2 linked regions of the Neurospora crassa OR74A genome follow. The protein of the gene in region 2 binds, or shares a complex with, the protein of the main gene of each other region. Links are inferred from orthologs where the notes say so. Each region holds a gene or a part of one and is shown on either strand. Other genes may lie near its edges. The genes, in order: NCU08944 and NCU07936.

The links.
Region 1: the proteins of NCU07936 (region 2) and NCU08944 are in contact, whole or in part, in a crystal structure (PDB 4HNY), measured with the Saccharomyces cerevisiae proteins. The link is inferred for Neurospora crassa OR74A from reciprocal best matches to the Saccharomyces cerevisiae genes NAT1 and ARD1. Residues at the interface, in NP_010244.1 of Saccharomyces cerevisiae: Tyr199, Glu203, Phe238, Asp239, Lys240, Phe241, Gly242, Glu245, Ile262, Arg265, Thr266, Lys269, Arg270, Asn271, Pro272, Asp273, Asn274, Phe275, Lys276, Leu285, Ile287, Leu293, Ala296, Leu297, Lys300, Leu301, Gln303, Phe304, Tyr305, Pro306; in NP_011877.1 of Saccharomyces cerevisiae: Pro2, Ile3, Asn4, Ile5, Arg6, Arg7, Ile10, Asn11, Ile13, Ile14, Gln17, Ala19, Asn20, Pro25, Asn27, Tyr28, Met30, Lys31, Met34, Tyr35, Ile37, Leu38, Ser39, Trp40, Pro41, Glu42, Phe45, Leu52, Asp53, Glu55.

The regions. Positions count from the first base shown.
Region 1 is NC_026505.1:5,781,184-5,784,751, reverse strand, and holds NCU08944 (N-acetyltransferase complex ARD1 subunit), read right to left. Parts: upstream 2,249-3,568; 5' UTR 2,157-2,248; intron 2,046-2,156; exon of another isoform or gene 2,033-2,045; 5' UTR 1,914-2,032; coding exon 1,601-1,913; intron 1,419-1,600; coding exon 1,021-1,418; 3' UTR 630-1,020; downstream 1-629. Other genes in the region: NCU08945 (RNA exonuclease 3), read left to right, coding at 1-335; NCU08943 (3-oxoacyl-(acyl-carrier-protein) reductase), read left to right, coding at 2,721-2,772, 2,827-3,568. UniProt on the Saccharomyces cerevisiae protein: Catalytic component of the NatA N-terminal acetyltransferase, which catalyzes acetylation of proteins beginning with Met-Ser, Met-Gly and Met-Ala.
Region 2 is NC_026504.1:1,297,592-1,301,503, forward strand, and holds the start of NCU07936 (NMDA receptor-regulated protein 1), read right to left. Parts: upstream 2,522-3,912; 5' UTR 1,986-2,521; coding exon 1-1,985. Other genes in the region: NCU07935 (caffeine-induced death protein Cid2), read right to left, coding at 2,988-3,505, 3,577-3,652. UniProt on the Saccharomyces cerevisiae protein: Non-catalytic component of the NatA N-terminal acetyltransferase, which catalyzes acetylation of proteins beginning with Met-Ser, Met-Gly and Met-Ala.

The sequences.
Region 1 (3,568 bases), on a different chromosome or scaffold from region 2:
CCTATCGACACGGGCTGAAGATGTTGATGGAATGGAACCTCAACAAGGCTATCCAGGTGGAACCGGATGCTGATTCCGCCGCCGATGGGACGACGGGACAGGGCGGAAAGCTACTAGGGCACGATTCAGCGGAGGACGCAAGGGCGGCGGGAGATTTGGTCAGGTTCAAGATCCAGCATACGTGGGCGAGAATGAAGAGGGAGGGGTGGACGTTGAAGGATGGAGAGTTTGTGCCGCCGAAGGATTCGAAGGGGAAGAAGAGTGGTGGGGAGAAGCTGACGGAAGTGAGGAAGACGAGGGATGGCACGGAGGAGGGGGAATTGGTTGAGGTTTAGATTAGAGACGGGGGTGTCTTGTCACTTGGAAGCTGGGCGAACTGGAAAGTATTTGGTGGTGAAGAGAAGATTCAGTTGGCTTTGGGGGCTCTGTTGCGACACAGAATCTACAATGTAGTATGTTTGCCAAGTTTGCCAGTTTCTTGAAGTGATTACGCGAATTTCGCAACGATAGGCACAATGAGTAGACAAAAGCTATGCTTATTCGTTACTGCTCGGACTAGTAGACACATTGGAAGTGCTCCATTGTAAAATTGATGGTGATGTTGCCAATTCTGTTCTGGCTGTGCCCTTCTACTTGTTCATTGTTTACTTTGCCCCTTTCCCTCCAATAGGCCAGCCTTTTTTCTTTTCTTTTCTTTTCTTCTAATCCGTACAATGGGTATTTACAGAACCAATTTGAACAACTACTCTCAAATTGACTACATGACTATTCACCTATTTTGCATCCAATTCGCTACGCCGGGTATGCATTCATCCCACCATTTTCGAAGTGATCGCTCGGGGAGGGTTTAGTTCTAGACGCCCGTCTCCTTCTGTAAATAAAAAAACAGCGAATCTTTCTTTTTTCCTTTTCCCAAACCCCAGCCAGTAATGCCAAGTCTAATATCAACGCTCTTCTTCTTCTTCTTCTTCCCCTCTTTACAAGCACACCGTCACAGTAACAGCAGCAGTAGTTATATCTCTAGTGTTTACTCTCATCCCTCTCCACCAACTCACCCACACCTAACCCCCTACCGACCTTGACCTTGACCGTCTTATCCTCTTTCTTAGAGTCTGCTTCAGGATCACGACCGACATCACCAACCGCCTCACCCTCATCCACCCCTTCCGATCCCTTTCCTTCCTCGATTTTTGGTTTGGCGTCCTTCTCGTCCAGCTGCTCGGCCAAAAGCGCCTCGCGGATGGGCGCCAGGTCGAGCTTCATGCAATAGGCGTCCTCGCCGTCGGCGTAGTACTTGGCTTCCGTCTTCTCCGTCTTGAAGCCCAAAGTGTCGCGGTACAGGTGGATGGCGGCGGCGTTGGAGACGCGCACGTGCAGAGAGACGTAGTGGGCGCCGAAGGTCTCGACCATTGCTTGTTCTGTTTTTTCACACCGCGTCAGTGAGATGATAGGTTAGTTGGTGGTGCTTTTGTGTGGAGGGTAGAGGTCGAGCGGAGCGAGGAGAGAGAAAAAAAAGGAAGAAAGAAAGAAAGGAAAGGAAGATAAGGAGAGAAAGGAAGATAAGGAGAGAAAGGGGGGAGAAGGGGGGGAAACGACGTACGAGACTGCCTCATCAGCTTCTCAGCAATGCCGAGTCGCCTATGGGTGCGCATCACGCTCAAGCTAGTAATGTGACCGTGCTGCACTCCGTCCGTCGGCTCCTCCTCCATCTTGGCCAGGACGTAGCCGACGATCTTGGGGTAGTCGTAGGCGCTCTTGGCCGGGCGGCTCACGTCGACGGCGACATACGACAGCTGAGGCCATGAGAGCGCGTGGTACAGGTAGTACTTGAGGAAGTAGTTCTCGGGCAGGTTCTCGATGTTGGCGTGCTGGATCAGAGGGATGTCCGAGGGGCGGAGGACGCGAATATCCATTGTGGCTGTTGGGATTGGGGGGTTCGGTCTGGAAGGATGGTGGTGTTGGTGGTGACTTAGAGAGTGGGAGGGTTGACGACTTGGTGATAGCTTCAACTTTGGGATGGTGGTGGTGGGCTCTGGGAGAAGCAGCTGGACTGGTTAGTAACAGCTATCTCGACGGCAGGGTATTAGGGTAGGTATCCCCAGCAACGGATAGTACCAAGCTGATACGGAGCAGTCTTCAACGGGGGTCGAACTTACAAGAAGCGAGTCGCCTATGTCAGGGATCGGTGGTTCGGTGTTGCGGTCGCAGTTCACAACTTGTCAATGTTGAATTGGAGACTGCTTGACGCTGCGCTACGGTGGTGGGAGGCTCTGGATCCACAATCCGCACTCCAATGTGGGGCACTTCCCGTGTGGAATCCAGACTGGCCTGACCCCTGGCGGCACAGCTTCACGGTTGGATGATGGTGGGACGGCTGCTATAGCCGCACAAATCGCGGGGCAGACAAGCCCGGGAGCTAGGGGCAGTCAACACCGGGCCAAGCGCGCCGTGGATGCAATGTGATGCGGGGGAGCTTCGTCTGAAAGCTTCTCTGAATTCATGACAGTAATACTAGCCGATAATGAGGAAGTTGGACAATGTTCTCGTGACGGGCGGTGAATGTATATAGAGCTTTCCGCTCCCCTATGCTCAATTGACTCTGACTTTCATTGTCGTCTCTTCTGTTCTTGTGTGTGTGATTGCTGTGATACCCTCTTGATACCCAGCCTCGAGCTACCCCACCATAGATCACTCATACCAGAACGACAACACCACTTACAATGTCCCAACCACTCAAGGGCAAGCTTGCCATTGTTTCCGGCTCTTCTAGAGGTTAGTAACTCTTATGCTTCTTGAATTCACATTCAAGACACTAAGAATCTCCAGGCATCGGCGCCGCCATCGCCGAGAACCTCGCCTCCAAAGGCTGCAACCTCATCCTCAACTACACCACCCCCTCCTCCGCCTCCCTAGCCTCCGAGCTGTCCGACCGTCTCAACAAGACCTACTCCATCTCCTCCGTGCCCGTCCAAGCCGACATTGGCACTCCCGAAGGCCCCCAAGCCATCATCACCGCCGCCACGTCCGCCTTCTCCAAGGCCGATGGCTCCCTCCAGATCGACATCATCATCAACAACGCCGGCATCGCCCGCAACGACCTGATTCCCAACGTCAAGGTGGACGACTTTACGGAAACCTACCGTGTCAATGTCCTAGGCCCCTTGCTGCTCGTCCAGACTGCCCAGCCTTACCTCCCCAAGGACCGCTCTGGCCGCATCGTCAATATCTCCTCCGTCTCCTCCTCCACTGGCTTCATAGGCCAGTCCGTCTACGGCGGCTCCAAGGCGGCCATCGAAGCCATGACCCGTACCTGGAGCCGCGAGCTGGCTGAGAACTGTACAGTCAACGCTGTCAACCCAGGCCCGGTCGAGGGACCCATGTATGCATCCAACTCGGAGGAGTTTCTGGAGGGCATCGAGGGGTGGATCAAGCACACGCCGCTGATGAAGGCGCGGGAGGATCTGCATGGCAAGGAGGCCGTGGAGGAGGCGAAGCAGTGGCATGGCAGGCTGGCGAAGACGGGGGAGATTGCGGGGGTGGTGGGCATGTTGTGTGGTGAGGAGGCGGG
Region 2 (3,912 bases):
CTGAACTGCAAGATGTTGGTGAGGAACTTCATGGCATCACCCAAAGGATCCGTCGTAGCAGCGAGCTTGAGGCCGTTCGGATCGTCGTCTTTCTTCTTAGGTTCCTCGTCCTTCTTGGCCGTCGCCTTGTTGGGATCCTGCTTAGCAGCCTTCTCAGCGGCCTCGCGCTCGGCCTTCTGGGCTTCCTTGCGGGCCTTCTTGGCGGCCTTCTTCTTCTCAGCGGCATCCTCTCCGTTGGTGGCCTCGCCAGTGCCGTTGGTGCCGTTGGCAGAAGCCTGCTGCTTCTCAAACATGTCAAGGTACAGCTTGACGGCGTCAAGAGCAGCACGGAAGTAAAAGGGGTGCTCGCGGATGCTGTCCTCCCAGCGGATCATGTCGACATAGGCACGGATCTGACCCTTACGGAGGGAGAAGCTGTGGAAGTCGAATTGGTCCTCCTGCCAGATATCGAAAATGTTGTGGATGGTGGTGAAACGCTTGAGAGCCAAGCCGGTGTTGCCACGCCGTTGCCAGGCCTCACCATCTTCAGTCAAGAACCACATGCACTGCATGTCGGTCAAGTCAGCGAGGGGTCCGCCGACAGTTTCAGCCCTCGTGAAAAGACCCATGGTCTCGAGAGCCTTCTCGTTCTCGTTGTTCCGTAGTTGGTACTTGGCGGCCTTGGAGTTGATGTAACGATCCTTGGTGTCGAGCGAACGGGCACGGTCCATGGTTTCCGAGGCCTTGGCGGTATCGCCCTGGTGCTTGAATATCCTGGCCTTGGTCATGTGGAAGTCAACGTTCTTGGGATCGAGCTCGATGGCCTGCTCGACATACTCCATGGCCTTGGCAAGGTCGCGGCTGAGGTGGTAGTTGTAATGTTGCGCCAGGAAGTAAAGAGCAGCACCGACACCCTTGGAGCTGTCGCCGTTCGCTTGCTCAGACCCCTTATGCTCCTTCAGATACTCCTCGGCAAGGGCGAGGATGGCCTCCTTCTTGGCAACCTCAGAGTAGAGGTGCTTGAGGTTGGCAAACACCGAAGGCACACCCCTGTCCAACATGTTGGTGAGATAGCTCTTGGCAGCAGCCTTGAAGCTATCGCCGGTGAGGAAGTTGAGAGGCAACCTCTTGGCAGCATCCGAGCGAGGGTACTTGGCAGCATACTCGTCATAGATGGCCTTGAGAGCAGCCTCGTCCTTCTCGTCAATCTCCAAAGCCTCAATCAGACCCTTGTAGTACTCGGGGTGCTCGGGGTTCCTGTCCAGCAGTGCCCGCCACGCCTTTGCCGCCTCCTCTTTCCTGTTGAGCTGACCCAAGTAGCGCGCCCGCATTTCCATAACAGCCAACCTGTCCAGGCAGTTCTTGCAGTCGGACTCGAGGTGCTCGAGCGCACGCTTGATATCGCCTCGCTCGGCAATAATGGTGTTCTTGTAAAGGAGAGCCTCGGAGTGCTCCTGGTCGGTCTTGAGGGGAACGTTGGTCATGGACTTTTCGTAGGTGGTGAGGATGTTCTCGGCCTGTTCGAGGCTGCCTTCGAGCTGATAGGCAATCGCAAGGGCGGTCCAGTTCTGGCGGAGATGGGGCTTGGCCTTGAGCATGGCGAACCTGCTCTGGACGTAGCCCTGGTAGTCGCGGATCTGGACCTGGAGGACGGCGAGGTCACGCTGGATCTGTTGGGACTCGGGCTCGAGCTTGAGGGCAAACTTGTAGGCCTTGATGGCCTCGTCGAAGTTCTTGTGCTGGCGGTAGAGGATACCGTAGACGTGCCAGCAGATGTGGGACTTCATGTCGACGGTGAGAGCCTCCTTGGCGAGGGCAAAGGCCTCCTCCGTCTTGCCCTGGGAGTTCATGATCAGAGCCTTCATGGACATGGTGTCGCCATGCCTGGGGTTTTTCTTGAGGATCTGCTCGGCGGCCTTCAAGCCGCGCTTGTACTGCTTGTCCTCATAGTGGCGGATGACGGTACGAAAGAGGTTGGCCTCTCTCGTGCTCAGGGTTTGCGGCATCGAGGAATGGACTGCGGGGTGGGACGATGAGGAAAGGCTTGTGTTTCGATGTCAAAGACGGCCGCGGGGTTGGGTTGCGGCGGAAGGACGGTTGTCGCGGAGTGGGTTGTTGTAGTTGTTGTTGTCGTTGTTAAGCTCAGGAGGATGAAGACTCTCTCGACTCGAGTCGGAGACTGCCACTATGTCAGGTCAGGGATCAGTTCGTGGGGGAGGGGGACGAGGGGCCGGCCGAGAGTGGGCTGGTTTTGGTGGAAGTGGATGTCGTTGTTTCGGTGTCGGGGATGAGCGGAGCCTGGTGGGACAGCTCTTGCTACCACTCACAGCCAACAACATCGGGACACCGCGAGAGGGTTTGCACCGCACAAGTACCTACCTGAACCACCTAAACATGGGGAATGGTTATACTTACCGTCTACAGCCAAAATGAAAGAAGAAGAAAGAATACCTGTGACGGTCTTATGTGCTTGACAGACGTGACTATTCCACAGTTCTTGTCGACGTTGACGATGCACTTTCCCCAAACTGCAAAGTGAAATTCTACAGCTGACAATTTGGTGAGATGGGCGCATTGATCAAAAAGTTGCTCTCTGCCGATTGGCCAACAGCCGGCGAAGCTCTCCCACTCACCTCCCTATAAGTGGGGTTAATCTTTAGCTAGACTCCGGCTCGGCCCTCTCGGTAACAACACCGAAGACACGGAAGCCTCCCGCCAGATCCCGCGATAACTCCTCCCGAGACAATGAAAGATTTCCATAATTCCTCGCGGCGATAGACGAAAGCTTAGTAATTTGATGTAGATATTTTCGCTTCTTTCTTCAGATATATTGACAGAAGATCCCATTACCCTACAATTACAACCATTCATATGGTCACACATCCTAATACGCCATACCCAATGCTTAGCACACACTTTTTCACTTACACCCCTTCCTTCCCTCACCTTCATCTCTTCATAAGCGACCACATCACCCACTGCCATCAGCACAAAAAAAAAAATCATCTTCACGCCAACGGCAAATGCTTATCCCTCCTCCACTCTCCCAAAGCCTGCTCCCACGTCTTCCCATCACTCCCACACCTCTCCCCCACAATCCCCCACGTCCTCGTCCTCACAATATTCTCCACGCCCTGCTCCATCCTGATCACGCTCGCCAGCTGTTCCGTCCTCGGCTCTCGCGGGAAAAACCTCGCCGAGTAGGGGTCCAGCCGTTCATTCACCACCCTCTCCCGATCCTTCTGCTTCTCGGCCTCCCGGATCGCCGCCTCCGGGTCGTCCGGGTCCGGCGAGGTGGCCACCAGCGCGCAGTAGCTCAACACCTGCGACCGCGCTTGCCACGAGGGGAACAACACTTGGTCTTTGAATTCCTGGCAGGCGGCGGGGTCGATTTGCCGGGATAAGGGCCGGGGGCTGCGCTGGGTAGTAGAGGACGGGTCGAAGCCAGCGCGGGAGGGAGTGACGAGGGCGTTGAGGTTTTGGGTTATGGTGTCGTCGATGGCGGAGCGGGAGACTCGTAGGAAGTCTGTGGGTTTTGGGTCAGTAAATTGTAAAAGACTCTCAAATATTTGTGTCTATAAGGTGAAGGAATCCCACCTCGTAGAGCTGCTGTCGAAAAGCAAAACTGGGGAGTGAGCGCTGGTGCGGACGGCGCGCTTGTTGGCTGGACCATGGTGTTCTTGGGCTTGGGCTTTTCGACTGGAGGCGCTGCAGTTTGGCCAGCCGTTGCAGCAGCTTCCCCCTTCTGCGTTGTCCAAAGAAGGTTCGCCACTTTGTCGCTTTTTGTCTGACTGTGGTTACTGAAGGTATCACAAAAATACGAGCCCTTCAAAGTTGAAATGCGCTGATAATCGTTGATATGGATGGTATTAAGAGGGTATCGCACGTTCAACGATCTGTCAAAAGTCTCAAGGCAATGACATCCGATGGAAG